Drosophila melanogaster: one gene and its partners. Changing the gene in region 1 together with any one later gene gives a genetic interaction. Each region holds a gene or a part of one and is shown in the gene's direction. Other genes may lie near its edges.

Region 1 (7,729 bases):
AAGCGTGAACCGTAAACGGTAAACGACAAAACGGAGACGTCGCCACTTTGGCCATGAGTAACGATGAGTGCTCAATTACTTTTCGATTGATCATGGTTTTGGCGCGCGGTGAAATTTAGACCGCCACCCCGCAGTTGCGCCTACCCCCTCTCGGCATCCGCATTCTGTCGACCGGTGGAGCGTAGTCGGCAATCATGAATGAATCGCCGTGTCTGCGAGCGTGAGAGCCCGGCTCGCGGTTGAACAAATCGTGTCGTCATTGACGGCTGTCGGCGGCCGACGGAGCGTATGAGTAATATTCTTGTGAAATTGAACGGAAATAACTGAAATTCATGCCAACCCCCATAAATTGCCGACTATTTGCGGGGGTTACTTCGGAACGGAACAAAACGGAACGGAATGGATCGTTTCGCTTCGGATCGGAAACGATCGTCTCGGAATCGAAATCGGAGAACGGGAGATCCGGAGAAACGGTGAATCGGAAGTGTGTGCCGAGTGAAAGTCATTCGATAAGAGCCAAGTAGCCGCTCATTTCGTTCCCCAGAGACCGGCAAATAGGCAAATTACACATGTTTTGTTTATCTGCGAGCGGGAGAGACAGTGAATAGCTCTCCCAGCGACCTTATCTGGTGGAGATCGGCCCAGTCGACGAATCGATCAATCACTCCACTCCAGTGCGCCGATTATGTGTCATCCCCCAAAGGGGAGCGCTGGAGAGCTGTGAGTATTTCTCATCGTGTTGAAATCTAGCTGGCCTAATCATTCACTAAACGTTTGTATTTTTCACGCCCATTACGACTGGGTAATATTGGTAATAAATCTATTATGTTCGGAATGGCCGTAATATAGAATATTTATGACATTTGTTACTAGTTCACTAACCAAATATTGGTCTCAATCGAATAGCTATTGGATGATTGTACTTGTTGTTGCCTAGTTTAGATGTTATCTCTCATATTTAGTATTATTAAAGTTAACTAAAGTTAGTTAAAGTTATACTTTTCTTCTGCTTTTTTCCATGCTTTCTTCAGCGTATCTTATTGCTCCTAGTTGCTAGTACCCTGGGTACAGGGTAACCCATTGTCCACACCCAGCCGCTATGAGTCGTTTTTGTTTTTTTTTATCGCTCAGCTGTGCTTTTTTATGGCTTTCTCGCGTTGTTTTTGGCACTCGGCGAATGTTTTGAGCGCTTTTCTTGCGATTGCACACTCATGACAGCCGAGAGAGCCTCTCCCTGTCTCTCTTCCGCTTCTTTGGCGATTCGAGCGGAGCGAACATGACCGGCGGACTGGGCGTCCGCCTCCTCATTAGTATGCTCATAGTAACTGAGGAGTTCAGTCAGTCTCCGCCGGCCACAAAAACAAAAAACTAAATATATATACACACATAACCACTGCACGCGAAAAGGCGAAAAAAAAGTGAAGAAACGCTACTGCAAAAATTGTACAAAAAAACAACGCAAAGACGGCGAGAAAGCCACTCCAATCCACTCCACAACACTCCACTCCACGCTCTCCAGCGGCAAGAAATCGACAGCGCTGTTGACTTCGACTTCGATCGAATCGGAATCAAATCATAGCAGACAGTCGAAGGCAGCGCGTCGACACTTAACGCGATAGTTCGTCCAGCCGCGATATAAAGATACAAAGATACGCAGCCAAATTCAACAAATTCAACAAATTCGACAAAGTCGCCTGATTCGCCTGATTCGCCAAATTCGCCAAATCGCGATCGCTTTTATTATTGGTTAGTTTTTTTTTTCGTTTTTTTCCCCGTTGCATTCTGGAAGCTTCTTTCCGGCAAATACACACAAAGAAAAGACTAACAGCGTTACAAAAGCAAAGTGCGTGTCAATCAAGTACGAATTTTTGTGCGGAATTCCCAGCCAACGATTTTTATGTAAATGGTAAGTACAAGTAACTACCGCAGGCGCGTATTTTTTCGGGGATTTTATATTTGCCTTTTCTGCTGCCGATAAGAGAATTCACCTGTGCGTGCTCGGTTTGTTGATAGGTACAGGTGTCTTTCGCTCGATACTTCTGAACCCGCAGAGTTCTTGCCAAGAGCTGCAATGGTCAGGTGAGGTGTCACGTACCCCACACATGATGAAATTGGCCCCAAGGAGGAGGTGTGATGGGTTTAGGGATTGGAGATGGGGATAGGGCTCACAACCGAAAGGGACCATCATCTCCAGCCTCTCATGGGGGAAACTCATTCGTGAATCACTGACACTGTTTGGTGATAGGCATTGAAAACAAGTTATAAATTCATGATGCACAATATGTTAAGTTCATTTTTCCACATGTGAATCATAGCATTTTAAAGTTATTACAATTATGAAAAACCCAAAGTTATTTGAAAACCTATGGACGTTATTTTCGGATGAGTATGACTAATCGTACAGGGGCGACTTGCATTTATTTGCTATTACTATTCTAACTTATTGGGAACTTATTGTTCCATTCAACCACACAACTTATGCAACTAACTTAATAGTTATTGCAACTGTAAAAAAAAACCCTTTTGACGAAAAATGGCCAAAAAAAGAGCGAAACATGTGAAATTAATTTACACGTTTCGTGCCGCGGGGGTGGTGGTGCCAGTGGTGCTGGTGGTGCTGGTGGTGCTGGTGGTGCTGGTGGTGCTGGTGGTGCTGGTGTTGCTGGTGTTTGGCAGGAATTGAAGATTGGATGCGTCAGCGGTTGTCACTACAAGCGTTAGCGATTCGGCACAGACAGGAGGACAAGGTCCGGGCAAAGGGACCGCGATAAAGAGCCGGAGAGCGAAAACGCACGGCAAGAGAGAGTGAATTTCACAAAAGTTTGCAAGACCAATGTTTCGTTGACCATGCTGCTCGATGTGTAGGAGGCGTGTGGAGCGATTGGAGCCTACCCCACCAGACAATATGAGATAGCACCGCCACCGCCAGTGCGGTGGCACCACTATCACCACTACCTTTGCAAGTCGACCTCCACCCGACACACGATGATTCATGATAATTTGGCTAAATAAAGAAATTTATTTTTAATTTGAAATAATTATTTCAGCCAGATAAAGACGGCACTAGCAATGGCCGTAGCTGTAGCTAAAGCGCAAACGATAATAATAACAAATCGCGCATGCTTCGGGCCCCCCAAACAATTGCGATTATATTTATATGTGTGCGTATGGGTTTGCGCATAAGTGCGTCCAGCGGGAATCCCCAAGCAGCCAACAATCATCATAATTCGCCCACTCAGGCACTAACACACACAAAATAACACAAAACAATCGCACCACAATCACACATCCGTACCATCACGTGCGCGAATTTTGGTTTATATTTGGCAAAAGTTGGCCAAGATAATATATAACCAGTCGGTTCAGTTCAGTTGTCCGCGCAGCGTCCGTTAGTCTTGACTTATGGTAATTGGTCCCTCGGCAGGGGGAATACATTTGGCCAACCGAACCCTCTTTTCGGCCAAAGTTTGAGTATGTAAATAACTGAAAATCGAACATACGTATTTGATTTTTTTTTTTTTTTTTTTTTTTTGGTAACTAATAATAGTATAACCTGTTGCTAGACTTTTCTCATGCTAAACACCGACGACGTCTGACGAAGATGTGACGTCAAGAAGTCGTAGTGAAACTCGAGCCATTATGGGTGGGAAAAAAATGAAACTGTGTTATCTTGAGGGCTTTGCGTGTTTGTATAAATTTTGTTTAGCTTATTTCGGAACTTTTTCCATCCACAGACGACAGCTGACCGCCCGCTCGACGTCAGCAGGAGCAGCGGAAGCGGTAGCCGGAGCGGTAACAAAACGGCCAGAACCAGGAATCCAGTGGAACCGCAGCCGCAACCGCCGTTCGTGGATCGACGACGACGCCTGAACAGGAACTGGTCACTGATCTTACTCGCCTTGGCCATGTCCCAGTTTGCCCTCTCCGGCGGCGGTTGTGGCGTCTCAGCGGCGCCCAGTCACCTGGCCACCCCGCCCACTGACAGCCCCTCCAGTCCCATCAATCCCACCAATCCCCTGAAGCACCTACAGAAGCGTTCCAGAGCGGCCAACTTCCGGCTGACCTTCCAGCAGAAATTGAATGCCAGCAGTACGCATCTGGACTGGGAGAACACCTGCAATCTGAAGCCCACGGGTCTGAACGAAACGCACAGCAAGGCGAAACGCTGCAAGAAACGCCAAAGGGTAAGTTTCAAGCGAAAGTTGGCTCTTAGCTGATAAATAAATTGGCACAACTAATTCACACACTATTATCTATATGTATATATGTATTTGTATCTATTTCAGATCCTGCAGAATCTACAGAACCAAACGGGCCGCGAGCTGCGGGGCATCCAGGCCGAGGACAAGGCCAGGATCACCACCAATGCGGACAAGCTGGCCACAGTGAGCACCAAGACTCTGGACATTGTCGAGAAGAACAAGTGGCGATTCTATAAGGGAAACTACAGATTCCTGCCCCGTCTGAATCTCACTAGCAAACAGGTGAGTGTCGTCCATATGCCATAAGCATAATATATGTATGCATATATCGTCATGTGAAGAACTACTGGATCATTTACAAACATCAAACACTCGCGGGGGGTTCTTCTGTTGCCAGGGAGCTTGAGGTGATAAAAAAGAGGGTCACGTGAGGCGTTCGCCCCGTTCACCTGCGTAGGTGCAAACAGGCCGTCACAAGCTAATGGCGAGTGGAGCGGTCATATGAGTCCGAATCCGAGGGAATCGTGCCGCCAGCCGCGAGAGTTGTTGCCATAGTTTGTTTGCGTGATTAAGGGAATTTATCAATCTATATAGAGGGGTATGAAGGAAACTAAGGAAATAAAGATTGAGATATGTATATAGTTCATATGTGCTAGCTTGATGATGGAGTTGTTTTGACAACACTTCCAACAGCAACTTGCATTGAGCACTTAAGTGCCGCCAACTTTTCGATCGCACCTCGTTCGTTTTGTCAGCATTAGCCGGCATTTCGGGACGCCCCATTAACCGTCGATTTGCATTGGTAGCAAACAACAACAGCACGAGGGAAAACATTAGCAATCGATGCCATAACCACATTAAGATTAAGAGCAAATTGACGGCGCGCGCGCTTTTTTTTTCGATTATTGTTTATATAGATCCATCGCGATCCCCCCCAAACCGGCCTTGATCCAGCGATCACGTTTTATGGCCAATCCGTAGATTGGATCGATCCGAATTGAGGCTGAAGCTGAAGCTGAAGCTGTATCTGAATCTGAAAACGAAGTTCAATCCGAATCTCAATTCGTATCTGAAGTGGATAATTTGTTGAATAAACAAAATAAAATCAAGCGGCACATTTTATTTACACTTTTGACAAGTAAACAACAACAAACAGAAGCTAATCAAATTTCGAATTGGATTCGCCACGGACATCTGAATTATGGCGAGAGGAAAATTATGGAGCTTTTCAATTTCGAGACCCTCGAGTTGCGGACAGTTTGATGTTAATAGAGTGGAACCGTTTAGTAATGCCAAATTGTCGGGGTCTGGGAATTCGGAAATATTTTCGCACTGACACGGTGAAATGAGCAAGACCAGTTGAGGAAAAACCCGGAGTGACCGATAGGCCAGTGAATAATGGAAGTAATGGAAGTAATATAGAATGTGGGCTCCGGAATGTGGATGGCGGTACTTGCGAAATGATTGCCACGGAGTACCAGTCGATACGTGACCAAGTATGACAAACGCCGTGCACTAGAAAGGGTCTAGTCCACATTTCAATGAGGTGGATGTCGCTTCGTGAATCGGTCGAGATCGGCTTGGTTGCCCCAACGTGCTAATTCCTTGGTGTCCGGGAAAGTTTCGTATAGGACAGTAATATCTGCAGATAACCAGATGAGTGTAGTTCACTTGGCGTGGCCATAAACAGATACTTTTATGAGATCGCAGGTGCGGCGAAAAATCTCAAGTGTGGTCAAGATCCGCGAAAACCGCCGACTCACTTCGAGTCAGCCAAAAGTCGCGTTCAGAGTGCAAGTGGAGTCTCAAAGGTCGCCACCCCCTGGGAATTTGGTTTTTATTTTTTTTTTTAATTACCCGTTCTGCTAAACTTAGCCAGTCCCATCATAGTTGCCATTCCATTTCATCCATTCATTCACTTAGCCAGCGATTCCACTCAATCGTCTATTCAGGGCGATGAGCAAAGTTTGGCTTTCGCTGAAATTTCTCAATTGTCGTCATAGTCTGGGAAAAGTACCTGGGCCTCGCGGATCACACTGTGAGAAAATGAGGGTAACAATTGACTGCCTTCGCTGCTTATAAGTACTCTTTCGTGTTGAGTTTTTCAGTAGATACCTTTGATCACACACTACTCGATTCGACCAGTCGATCCACCTTTTCTCACTCTGCACCAAGCTCGGGAACTTGCCGCTCGGGATGTGTGTCAATATTTGGCCAATATCGGCTACGTCAATGCCAATTGTGCCAACTAATTGTTGACATCCCCGGAACAGAGTGAAACGGAACCCCCAGATCGGAACCCGATCCGACGACGAGGTGGCAAACGGGACTGATAGAAGAACTCTATATTTAGATGGATCGTTTCGATACCGAGAATCGACGGCCTTTTGACGTCATGCATTCGCTCATACCCACCCAAAAAAAAAAAGGAAAACAACGAATTCGCTGATACCGCAGCGGATCGGTTCGGAAGAAGAAATGACCTTAACGATAATATGTTTGAGTAGTTCACAACGCTCGTTTATTGCAAATGACACACACACGCCGTTTGTGGTCGTTGATCGGGGGGATACGGGGCGCGGAGCGTATACGCGATATGTGATTCATATGAAACAGAGCCGTGGATTCCCCCGAAACTCCAGCGAGAGCGAGCGGGAGCGGGAGCGGGAGCGGGAAAGGGTGAGCGGCGGCATGCGGCGAGCGCGACATGAATGAAACGAAGAGCCAACGTCGACGTCACGAGCGGCCAGCCGAAGCGTAGCCGAGAACTCAAAAAACAGTTACGAGAGAGCGGCGCGAGCGTTCGGCTTGATTTTCACTTTCAGCCGCCGGCCAGATAAGTTTCTGGTCGTTGGGATGAGGGGAGTGTGTGTGCGATGGGAGGGGGGGGGGGGGGGGGTCCGCAAAGGGGCTGGTGGGCTCAGTTCACTCAACCCAAAAAATTCGAACTATAGGATCGACTATATACACCATATGCGATATGGATATCGCAATTTCCGCCAAGGTTTCGCCGTTTCTAATACTTTAATTTTACAATTGGGGATTTTTATTGCAAGCGAGTGCAGAAAAAGGTTTATTCAATAAAGATAACCCCGACCTTCATTCATGGCGATACAAGTAATTAAGGCGTTAAATACTTAAAAATATCATACTTTGCCATATAATTGTTTTATTTTCAATTCTATGCTGATATAATCAAGGATTATGGAGTTGATCTCCAATATGGGTTGGGGTAACTATGATGATTAAGTTGGGAATATATAAGTTTACAAGTTCATGGACAGTTAATGATATAAATAGAGCACTTAATTTAATCTAAAAACTAGTATATATAAAATGGGTGTACAAATATGAATCCATAGATTCTTATCAACAGAGAACCTCTCATTGCAGATCAAAGTTATCAATTAGTCATGTTCCCATTCATAGTATTCATATTTCTTGACAAATCAATTTAACTAACCCGCTTCCAATCTTTTTCCTTGCCCATTCCAGTTGAACCTTCGCCACGCCCATCGCGACCTGCA
Region 2 (4,553 bases), on another chromosome or scaffold:
AGTTTTAATAATATATAAAATAGGGATATCATATGACTTACAGTGGATAGGTTGAAATGCGTGTAGTGGGACATGACGATTCCGCAAAATAGTATAGCCATAATACCTATAGTTGAAAAAAATGTTTAGCTTTTAGAGTCATAGTCAACAACATTGATATACCGCTTAAGTGTATTCCCTCTGCCAAGACGTAAGGTGCGTAAGTAAACATTAGCATCATCGCGAACTCGAGGGATGGATGCTTTCGTAAATCGATGTGCTTCAGAAGAAGAGCCGAAATTAGTGCAAATATGACTCCAATGCCCGCCGAAGCAAAGAACATCGCGCAAAAGGTCTTCAACGCGCTGAACATGGCTTCTCCAGTGCTGGCCTCAGCATTGACGTTAGCGGATTGGGTTATGGATGCAGTCAGCACAATAGATATGGCGTCGTTGAGGATGCTTTCGCCGAATACCAACATGTTGAGTATGGGGTCTACGTCAAGAGCATGGAAAATTGCCACTGTTGCCACAGGATCAACAGCAGAGATGAGAGAACCGAAGGCAAAGGATTCCGAAAAGCTTAGGCTAAAATTTAGGATAAATTATTGAATGAAATTGACAATTTATTTTAAACTTGCCGAAATGCCACCTCCCCCAGGCCCAGCAGGTAAATCCCCGCCCCGATGACTAGTGCAGAAATTGTTGTACCGAATATGGCAAAGACCAGTATGGATCCGATGTTCTGAAAGAAGTTTCCCTTGTGCAGATTGTAACCGGACTCGAATATAATGGGCGGCAGGAGCACCAGAAAGAAGCCCATGGGCGAGAAGACCTCTTCACGTTTCCAACTGCCATTCTGCCCAGACATAACGTTCAGCGAAAGGCCAATAAAGGCGCCCAGAAAGACTACCACAATGCTTTCTGGCAGGTACTGGAACCCGGTCTGGAGCATAGAGTGGATAAGCAGGATGCCCAACATGATAACGCAGATGACGAAAAACAGTGAGAGTGAGGAGTTGTGCTCCTGCTCGACAGCATGGGAATCGATTAGAGGCGGATCTGTGACCAATGTGGATGCGTTTCCCCTTTTCGTGGTGCTTGCATTACCAGATGCAGAAATCGAGGGCGTGACATTTCCAAGCGGACTGTTGACGAAGACATCCGAAACGGTGTGGATAGAGCTACTATTATCTGTAGTGGTGGTGTTGCTTGATGTTTTGCTTTGGGGCACCTCCTGTCCACTGATGCTTTCCGGACCCGCGTGCACCAACAGTAAGAGTGCAGCTGCACTATAAGCTACCCAAACCCTCATTTTTGCCGACAAAACGTGACGTGGTCGCTATTAACGCTCGCATTTAACTTTTCACTATTTGTTCAATTTGTTTTTTCACAAACATCTGTTTATCGCCCTATCTGACGTATATCGGGGAGAGTTGCCGTATCATTTTGGCTTATTGGCGCGTGCCTTTCATATATTCAAAAGAAAATTGTGCACTTAATTGCGTGCAGTATATTTTACCATATAATGAATTTATTTAAATAATTGGCTTTTGCCCAGTCATTGTAGCTGATAGCTCTTGTGAAGTGTCTTGAAAATTGAGCATTTTAAGTTTAAATATTTTTGTCTACGTATTGAGAACGTTTCTTACGGCAAAAAGAAAATTATATATGTATTAGAAAAGTGAAATAATAAAAAACCTTGTTATTGGCAAAGTGATAAATTGTTTAGTTAAGGCTATTACAATAACTGACGATAAATCAGTAAAATAAATGCATTGCCACAATCTACAGTTCGCAAGCACCCACCATTTGTGCTCAAGAATAATGTGCCCTGCGCATCTGTTCGTTCAGGCACACGCGATCTTCTTAGGCCCCGTGGGGTCACACCTTATTTGAAAGATAATGGGGCTTGTTGTTTTCGGTTATATTCAGTGGGTATTAGAATTTTAAAAAATGTACATGCAAAAACTGATTACCAGGCTCCTTGATCTTGGCAGACCTTGTTTGTCTTCTTGGCTGTGGCATGACGTAAGCACTTTTTCAAAAGCACAAATTGTTCGAATAGTATGAGAACCCTAATTGACGACTTTCCTTGACAAGATAGTGTCGAACGATCCATCTCCAAAAGGGCAGTCACTCCATGTTAGGGAAAAGCTAGGGTTTCAACAGATACAGACATTCGTTTAAAAATTCGCTTCGAATTGCGCTTCGTGTAGCGATTGTCTATATCATCGAATATGTATATGTCAATTGCTGTACATAAGAGAAGCCGAGAGAGCAATGCTAAACAGATTTTAAAAATTAGGTATATAGGTGGCTGCCGTGGTAGCACATAGTTTTGTTCTGATAAGCTCTTATTTCTTGCCGACTCATCTTCTCAAATGCTGTCTACAAAAATTTATAAATATTATTCGTCTGTAAAAATCATCCGCAGTTGAACGCAGGTTGAGCAGGAAGCTAGTCGAGACTATAATCCATATCTTGTCTGATCCTTTGTTCAAAACCACAGTGAGTATAAAATAAAGGATCTGGATCTAGATTCACTACAGTTCACTCCGGAGCGGGGTGGCAACGCTGGGCGGCGGAACAGCTGCTTAAAACCCAAAAACGTGGAGATACTGAAGAAGTAAAATCATTTGAGAGTACCGAGAACGCTAGGAAAGTTTCCCTAAAGAGCGCCCAAATAAGTCTCAAAATAATAATCGAGTCAGCCGAAGAGAACCGCCTCCTCCGTTTGCGACGATAAGCAAAAGCCCGCTCTCTCGTTGGAGGTATAAATTCTGAATGGCATTAAAAAGTTGCGCTCTTTTTCTTCAGAACCGTCGCTAAGATAGGACGTGTGTTGGCTGCGCCGCTGATTTGGTTGCCGTCGCTGAACCAGTATAACTCAGAATCAGTGTGTATAATTTGTTGAACTAATAGCTAGAACGTCGAACACGCATTTTAAACAGCTAGCAGCACCGAGCCCTCACCTAGCGACTAGTTTAGCTTTGAACCCGCTCAACGTGCGTCTCATGTATGTAGCGACGATTGTGGCAAACGCGCAGCATAAAAACATAAAAGAAGGGCGATTATATAAAAAAAACTATAACGAAAAGTGTGCGAATACCGGAAAATCCCAACAGCCTCGAGGCGGCCTATAGCTTAGATTCGCGAATGCGAAAATAGATGTGTTTTGCAAGAGTTCGGAAAATCAATTTCGTTAAGCGTTTTTTAACAACCGCTAATGTGGCCTCTCTTTCTCTCTGTTCCCCCAGCTCCACCAACAATTTAGCCGACCGGAACTCGGGTTATAGCACTGCTCCCCCATTGCCCCTTCAAACTTCGAGTTACATATTACAAACTACCCATCAACATGCCGCAAAAGACAAACGGACATAGCGCCAACGGATGCAACGGCAGCAATGGCAACTCATATGACATGGAAGACGGAGCTACATTCCTGTTCACTTCCGAGTCCGTTGGCGAGGGTCATCCAGGTGAGTGCTTCATTGCATCTGCGGCGCCTCCTATTGCATCATACCGATAGTGTCAGTGTAAAAAAAGAAACAATCTCAAATGCCCCTTCGGGCGTGGTGAGAGATGTTGCCTGTCAGTTCTCATAACCTGACCAAACTGATTCTCTAGCGTCTGAGGCCCTTCTGTCTGAAGTCCCTTTCCCTGTATACCCAGTTCCACACCTCCACCGTCTACTCACTTCTGCTTACCGCCTGAACTCTAACAAAATGGCGACGAAATTATGTCCATACCTTTGTTGATTTCTACCCAATTTGCACGACTTGAACAGAGGCTGAGAACGGGAAGAAGAGCTAGTAAAACGTGCCTCTGTTGCATCGCCCGGTGACCAAGCCGGAAAGCTGGGACCACGGAGAACAGCTGGCTTCTCTTGAAATCCCCGCACAACAGCGGGCTAAACCTTGTGCTTGGATGGGCAGACGCAATTAATAGACTGGTTCTTTATCGTTTGCGGCTCTCACATATGTATGTATGTGTGTACAGAGAGACTACGTCATGCGCACCATGTGCTTGTGGCTCATGGGAGATGCGAAATTCAAGTATTCTCTACGTTGTTCTACGTTGTCCACGCACTTGTTCATTTGATCGCAGATGGCGATCAAAACAACGGCCAACACAAACATACCTTACATTTTTCTAGACCGCTGTCAAAGCTTATTTTTTTCACCGAAATTGCCAACCACGTGTTTTGCTCGAGCTCGATCTTTTCGCCCCTCCCAGAGTTTGTTTATATCAGCAGTGGCGACCAGTATAGTAGTGTGTTTGACAACAGCTGTTGATAAGCCGAGCGACCTTTTATACTACGCATTGATTACTTTTACTATTCTATACTATTTTATTTTATAATGCTAATTAAGTCGGCTTGGCAAGCTAGCCCTAGACAATCTAGCCCTATACAATCGTGATGATAAGCGCCGAGTGCCATTCAGAAGAATACACCCCAAATGGTTGACATTAATATCGCCTGTCTTTTTGTAATAAATGAGTGACGGACTTGTTAGAATAGATAATTAGACTAGCCGGAAATTGGAAACCCTGAAACCCATTTCAGAGTAG
Region 3 (4,279 bases), on another chromosome or scaffold:
AACGGAACAGTTAATTCCGGGCATCATTAAGGCGACACACCCACCTTGAGTGCGGGAATCTGGGACCAGGTAGGATGTGCTTCCCCAGCACAGCCTCATAATATGCCACGTCATGACTTTCTTCTGTGTCAACGCCCCTCGAGTCCCGGTCGGAGCACCCTTTCCCATTGTCCGCCGTAATCCTTTGAGTTCCTATCGCGTGCTACGATCCTGATCTTTGGGCGACTCCTTGGCAGAAAGGCGCCGCGGGTTGCTCGCTCAGTTCGTGTCATAATTGCATGGCATTTGGTCTGTCGTGGAAGTGTGAAAATTATGGAGTTTCCTCACCCTTTCGTCATCTTAATGATTATGTTTGTTTCGTTTATCTCTGACTTGAGATCGCCAAGGGGCCCAAGGAATTTGTTTGGCAAACTTTGCTTCATTCATATGCGTGAGTTATGGCATTTGCCTTTGGGTTTGTAGGGGAGGTTTTCCAATATGGGATTTCTTCTTTTTGATTTCCGTTTTTTTGCGTGCTAAATTGTGTTTTACGATTATGAGATCCCTGATTTCATCTTGAAGATATCGGCAGGAGCTCGACATTTCGGTTTCTTTTTTTGCAAACGTTTATTTCTTTATCGATTTTGAGATCGTGAGAAGTAGTTCCGTTAGCTATACCGTTGCCTTACCAAATTCTATAATAGTGACTATATATAGTGGTAATATTTCTATATTTCTGTGAGTCATTTCCATTAAAATTTACGTTTGATTTTGAAATTTTTTTACAGAATAATTTCTACCTCTGAAGTTAAGTAGATTTAGCAGCTTTAATGTCCGCATTAAAAAAGTCTTAAAGCCTTGAACTAAATTACTTTCCGTGCTTCGTTGGAACCATCTCCATTTTGTTCGTAACTCTGCTTGCCCTCCAACCATTTCACTTTGCTCCCCATTTCGACATCCACATCCAGTTCGAAAGTAAATAGGCCCGACCACTGGCATCTGCCAGTGACTGTCGCCAGGTGTACCCATCAGAACCCATGCCATACAGCACATCCCCATCCACACACAGCCCCATCCCCATCTCCATTTCCATTACTGATGTTGTAAACTTTTTTTCTGAACTTAATTAGCTTTGACTGGGGTTGGGGCCGTGTTCTTTGCCATCGAGTGCCTCAAACCCCTGGTTCTCATATCGTACAATTACCCAGTGGAGCGCGTGCTGCAACCGCAGGTGCTAGAGCAGCACAGCACTCGTCTCCCTGCCCAGTTGCCAGTTCCCAGCTCCCAGCTCCCTGTGCTCAAGCTCTCCCAGCTCCCAGTTCCCTATAGAACGAATTCTCCATCTCCAGCTGCTGCTACCACTACTACCAATCAAACCTGCTCGGGAACTCTCCTAATTTCCCAAACTGGAGTGCCGGATAAGGCGGATAAGCCGCACACAAGCGCACCCGAACTGGAAGTCAGCATGGACCAATGGGCGTACCGCTTTGCGACCGAGCAACCCTCGTGCGATTCGACCGCTGGCAACTTAACTGTGCTGCGCAGAGCGGGCCCAGTTAGTCAGCCTTGCGCAGTCGATGCGAACGGACGCGTCGCTCCAGAGAAAAGTTGAGAAGAAGTACACAGTAGTAATAGACTATTGAGAAGGAAAACTATAGTGACCGCGTGTGAACTTGAAACTAACGATTACATAGACACATCAAAAATGGTTTTGAACGGCATGCCTATAACAATGCCAGTACCGATGCCAGTGCCCATGCCTGTGCCCAGTCCTCCGGCCACCAAGTCCCGGGTGGCGATCGACTGGGACATCAACGATTCCAAGATGCCGTCGGTGGGGGAGTTTGACGATTTCAATGACTGGTCCAACGGACATTGCCGGCTCATCTACTCCGTGCAGAGTGATGAGGCCAGGAAACATGCCAGCGGTTGGGCCATGCGAAACACCAACAACCACAACGTGAATATCCTAAAGAAGAGCTGCCTGGGAGTGCTCCTCTGCAGTGCCAAGTGCAAGTTGCCCAATGGAGCCAGTGTGCATCTGAGACCCGCCATTTGCGACAAGGCCAGAAGGAAGCAGCAGGGCAAACAGTGTCCCAATAGGTGGGTTTTTGACTAAACACAAAATCCAAGAATTGTCAAAACTAACTCGGTATTTTTATTTTTTTTTCTTGACAGAAATTGCAATGGTCGCTTGGAAATCCAGGCTTGCCGCGGCCACTGCGGCTATCCAGTGACCCACTTCTGGCGCAGGGACGGAAATGGAATCTATTTCCAGGCCAAGGGCACCCACGATCACCCCAGACCCGAAGCCAAGGGATCCACGGAAGCCAGGCGACTTTTGGCAGGAGGAAGACGTGTGCGAAGTTTGGCCGTAATGTTGGCCAGGGAATCGGCGCTGAGCGACAAGCTGAGTAGCCTGAGACCCACAAAACGGCAGGCCAAGACTCAGTCCATCCAGGAGAGCAAGCGCAGAAGGATGGGTGCTTCCGATGTGCTCGAAACCAAGCAGGAGTTAGTGGTGCCACCCACCACCTACCTGCCCACATCGACGCCCACACATAGCACCAACTTTAATCAATCTCAGGGTTCATATGTCCCAGCAGGACAAGGATCAGTGATCAGTCAGTGGAATAGAGAGATTCACTACGAAACGGAGGATCCATGCTATGCCAATGGAATGTACTCCTACGATATGCTCCACTCACCTCTCTCAGCGCATAGCTCCACGGGCAGTTATTACCAGGAGAACAAACCGCAGCAACTGCAGCACTCACAATACCAGCAGCAACTCTCACCGCAGCAACATGTACCAGTCAGCTATGATCCCAGCCAGCCAATCTCCTCCAGCCTTCAGTGCGGAATGCCTTCGTATGAAATATGCGACGATACGTCCAGTTTGACCAGCAGCTCGGGCTACTGTTCCGAGGATTATGGCTACTACAATGGATATCTACCCAACTCGCTGGACGTGAGCAATGGAAGCCAAAGCCAGAATCTTAGCCAGGATGCAAGTTTCTACACAACCAGCTCGGAGATCTTCAGTGTGTTTGAGTCAACTCTGAATGGCGGAGGGACCAGTGGCGTGGATCTCATCTACGACGAAGCAACCGCCTATCAGCAACATCAGCAACAGGGAACTTTTCCGCATCTCACCAATTATCAACAGGAGCCGCAGGATCAGATGCAGTCCGCCGACTACTACTACAGCAATACGGGAGTGGACAACTCGTGGAACATTCAAATGGACGCGACATATCACCCAGTCAACAGCACGGATCCCATCTATTGCTAGGGGATCGGGATAAGATCTCTCATCGCAACTACTATTACTGAGCCACTCAAGCGTTGTTCTAGTCCCTAGTTGATTGATTTCCATTCATGTTCCCATTGCTTGTTGGTCGTGTATTATTATATATTGAACGTTTCTAGTTTGTACTTTTGTACTTGTTTCCCAGCTATTCCAAAGTTTTAGAGCACGTAAGAGTAATAGTATTCTTAAGCACATAGAGTTTTAAGTCACATTTCCCACCTATTTATGAACTTTTTTGTAGTAATAAACATTTTTGAAAGAAAAACTTAATCGAAGCAGCCTTTTTTTGAGAATTGACACGTGTCAAGCAAGGGAGCTCGTAATCATTGTCAGTATAACATTACCAGCGGCAGGATATACAACTAGGGATTTTCCTCAACAACAAGTTTAAATTCGTTAGTCAACCAAAATCGTGTAACAATGGGTGCTTGTCGCCCTAGAAAATGTAGTGCAAATAACCGAACTATGGCAATTGTGAGTACTAAATAAAGGCCTAAACAAATAACAATGAATAAAACCAAATTTTGTATTGAGAAGCGTCGCCGTAGAGCTCTAGTTAACTTGCTATTTTTGCGCCGTCATTTGATTGGACAGGCACTTGGAATTACGAATCGGGAAACTCCAGACCTTAGGGTAAAATCGCGGCGACGCAATCGTAGAAGGAGAATGCAATTCAGAGTCCGTACACCAAGTGATAATGCAATGCGCTCAGTAAGGCATCATGGACAGAATCCAATCAGCCCAGGATCACGGCTACAACGAAATAATCCACTTTGGGGACACGCCGACATTATAACCACAGATAGAGCGTTGGAAGCTTTAAATGGACTTACTACAGGGAACAGGGAACCAAATGCATTGTCAGTAATGGTGCGATATACCAATGGGCGGTGTAAGTTGAGCTGTACTTATTGCTAATACAATGAAGTGCATAATTAATACTCTCTTATTAGATTATTTAAGCTTAGAGCCAAGTGGAAATCAGCA

The links. A genetic interaction does not mean that the proteins touch.
Region 2: of upd3 (region 1) and Sam-S, changing one suppresses a phenotype caused by changing the other (phenotypic suppression), as found in Drosophila melanogaster (one study listed by BioGRID).
Region 3: of upd3 (region 1) and gcm, changing one suppresses a phenotype caused by changing the other (phenotypic suppression), as found in Drosophila melanogaster (one study listed by BioGRID).

Annotation. Positions count from the first base shown.
Region 1 is NC_004354.4:18,275,700-18,283,428, forward strand, and holds the start of upd3 (unpaired 3), read left to right. Parts: upstream 1-1,533; 5' UTR 1,534-1,903; coding exon 1,904-1,906; intron 1,907-3,734; coding exon 3,735-4,184; intron 4,185-4,286; coding exon 4,287-4,484; intron 4,485-7,697; coding exon 7,698-7,729.
Region 2 is NT_033779.5:105,350-109,902, forward strand, and holds the start of Sam-S (S-adenosylmethionine synthetase), read left to right. Parts: upstream 1-1,553; 5' UTR 1,554-1,651; intron 1,652-2,411; exon of another isoform or gene 2,412-2,415; 5' UTR 2,416-2,489; exon of another isoform or gene 2,490-2,997; intron 2,998-3,238; 5' UTR 3,239-3,336; coding exon 3,337-3,460; intron 3,461-4,244; exon of another isoform or gene 4,245-4,401; coding exon of another isoform or gene 4,402-4,444; intron 4,445-4,553. Other genes in the region: Nhe1 (Na[+]/H[+] hydrogen exchanger 1), read right to left, coding at 42-106, 163-566, 620-1,293. UniProt on the Drosophila melanogaster protein: Catalyzes the formation of S-adenosylmethionine from methionine and ATP. The reaction comprises two steps that are both catalyzed by the same enzyme: formation of S-adenosylmethionine (AdoMet) and triphosphate, and subsequent hydrolysis of the triphosphate.
Region 3 is NT_033779.5:9,578,998-9,583,276, reverse strand, and holds gcm (glial cells missing), read left to right. Parts: upstream 1-1,531; 5' UTR 1,532-1,684; coding exon 1,685-2,082; intron 2,083-2,157; coding exon 2,158-3,274; 3' UTR 3,275-3,712; coding exon of another isoform or gene 3,713-3,766; 3' UTR 3,767-3,779; downstream 3,780-4,279. Other genes in the region: CG31709 (uncharacterized protein), read left to right, coding at 3,713-3,766, 3,830-4,184, 4,246-4,279. UniProt on the Drosophila melanogaster protein: Transcription factor that induces gliogenesis. It determines the choice between glial and neuronal fates. Also has a role in the differentiation of the plasmatocyte/macrophage lineage of hemocytes.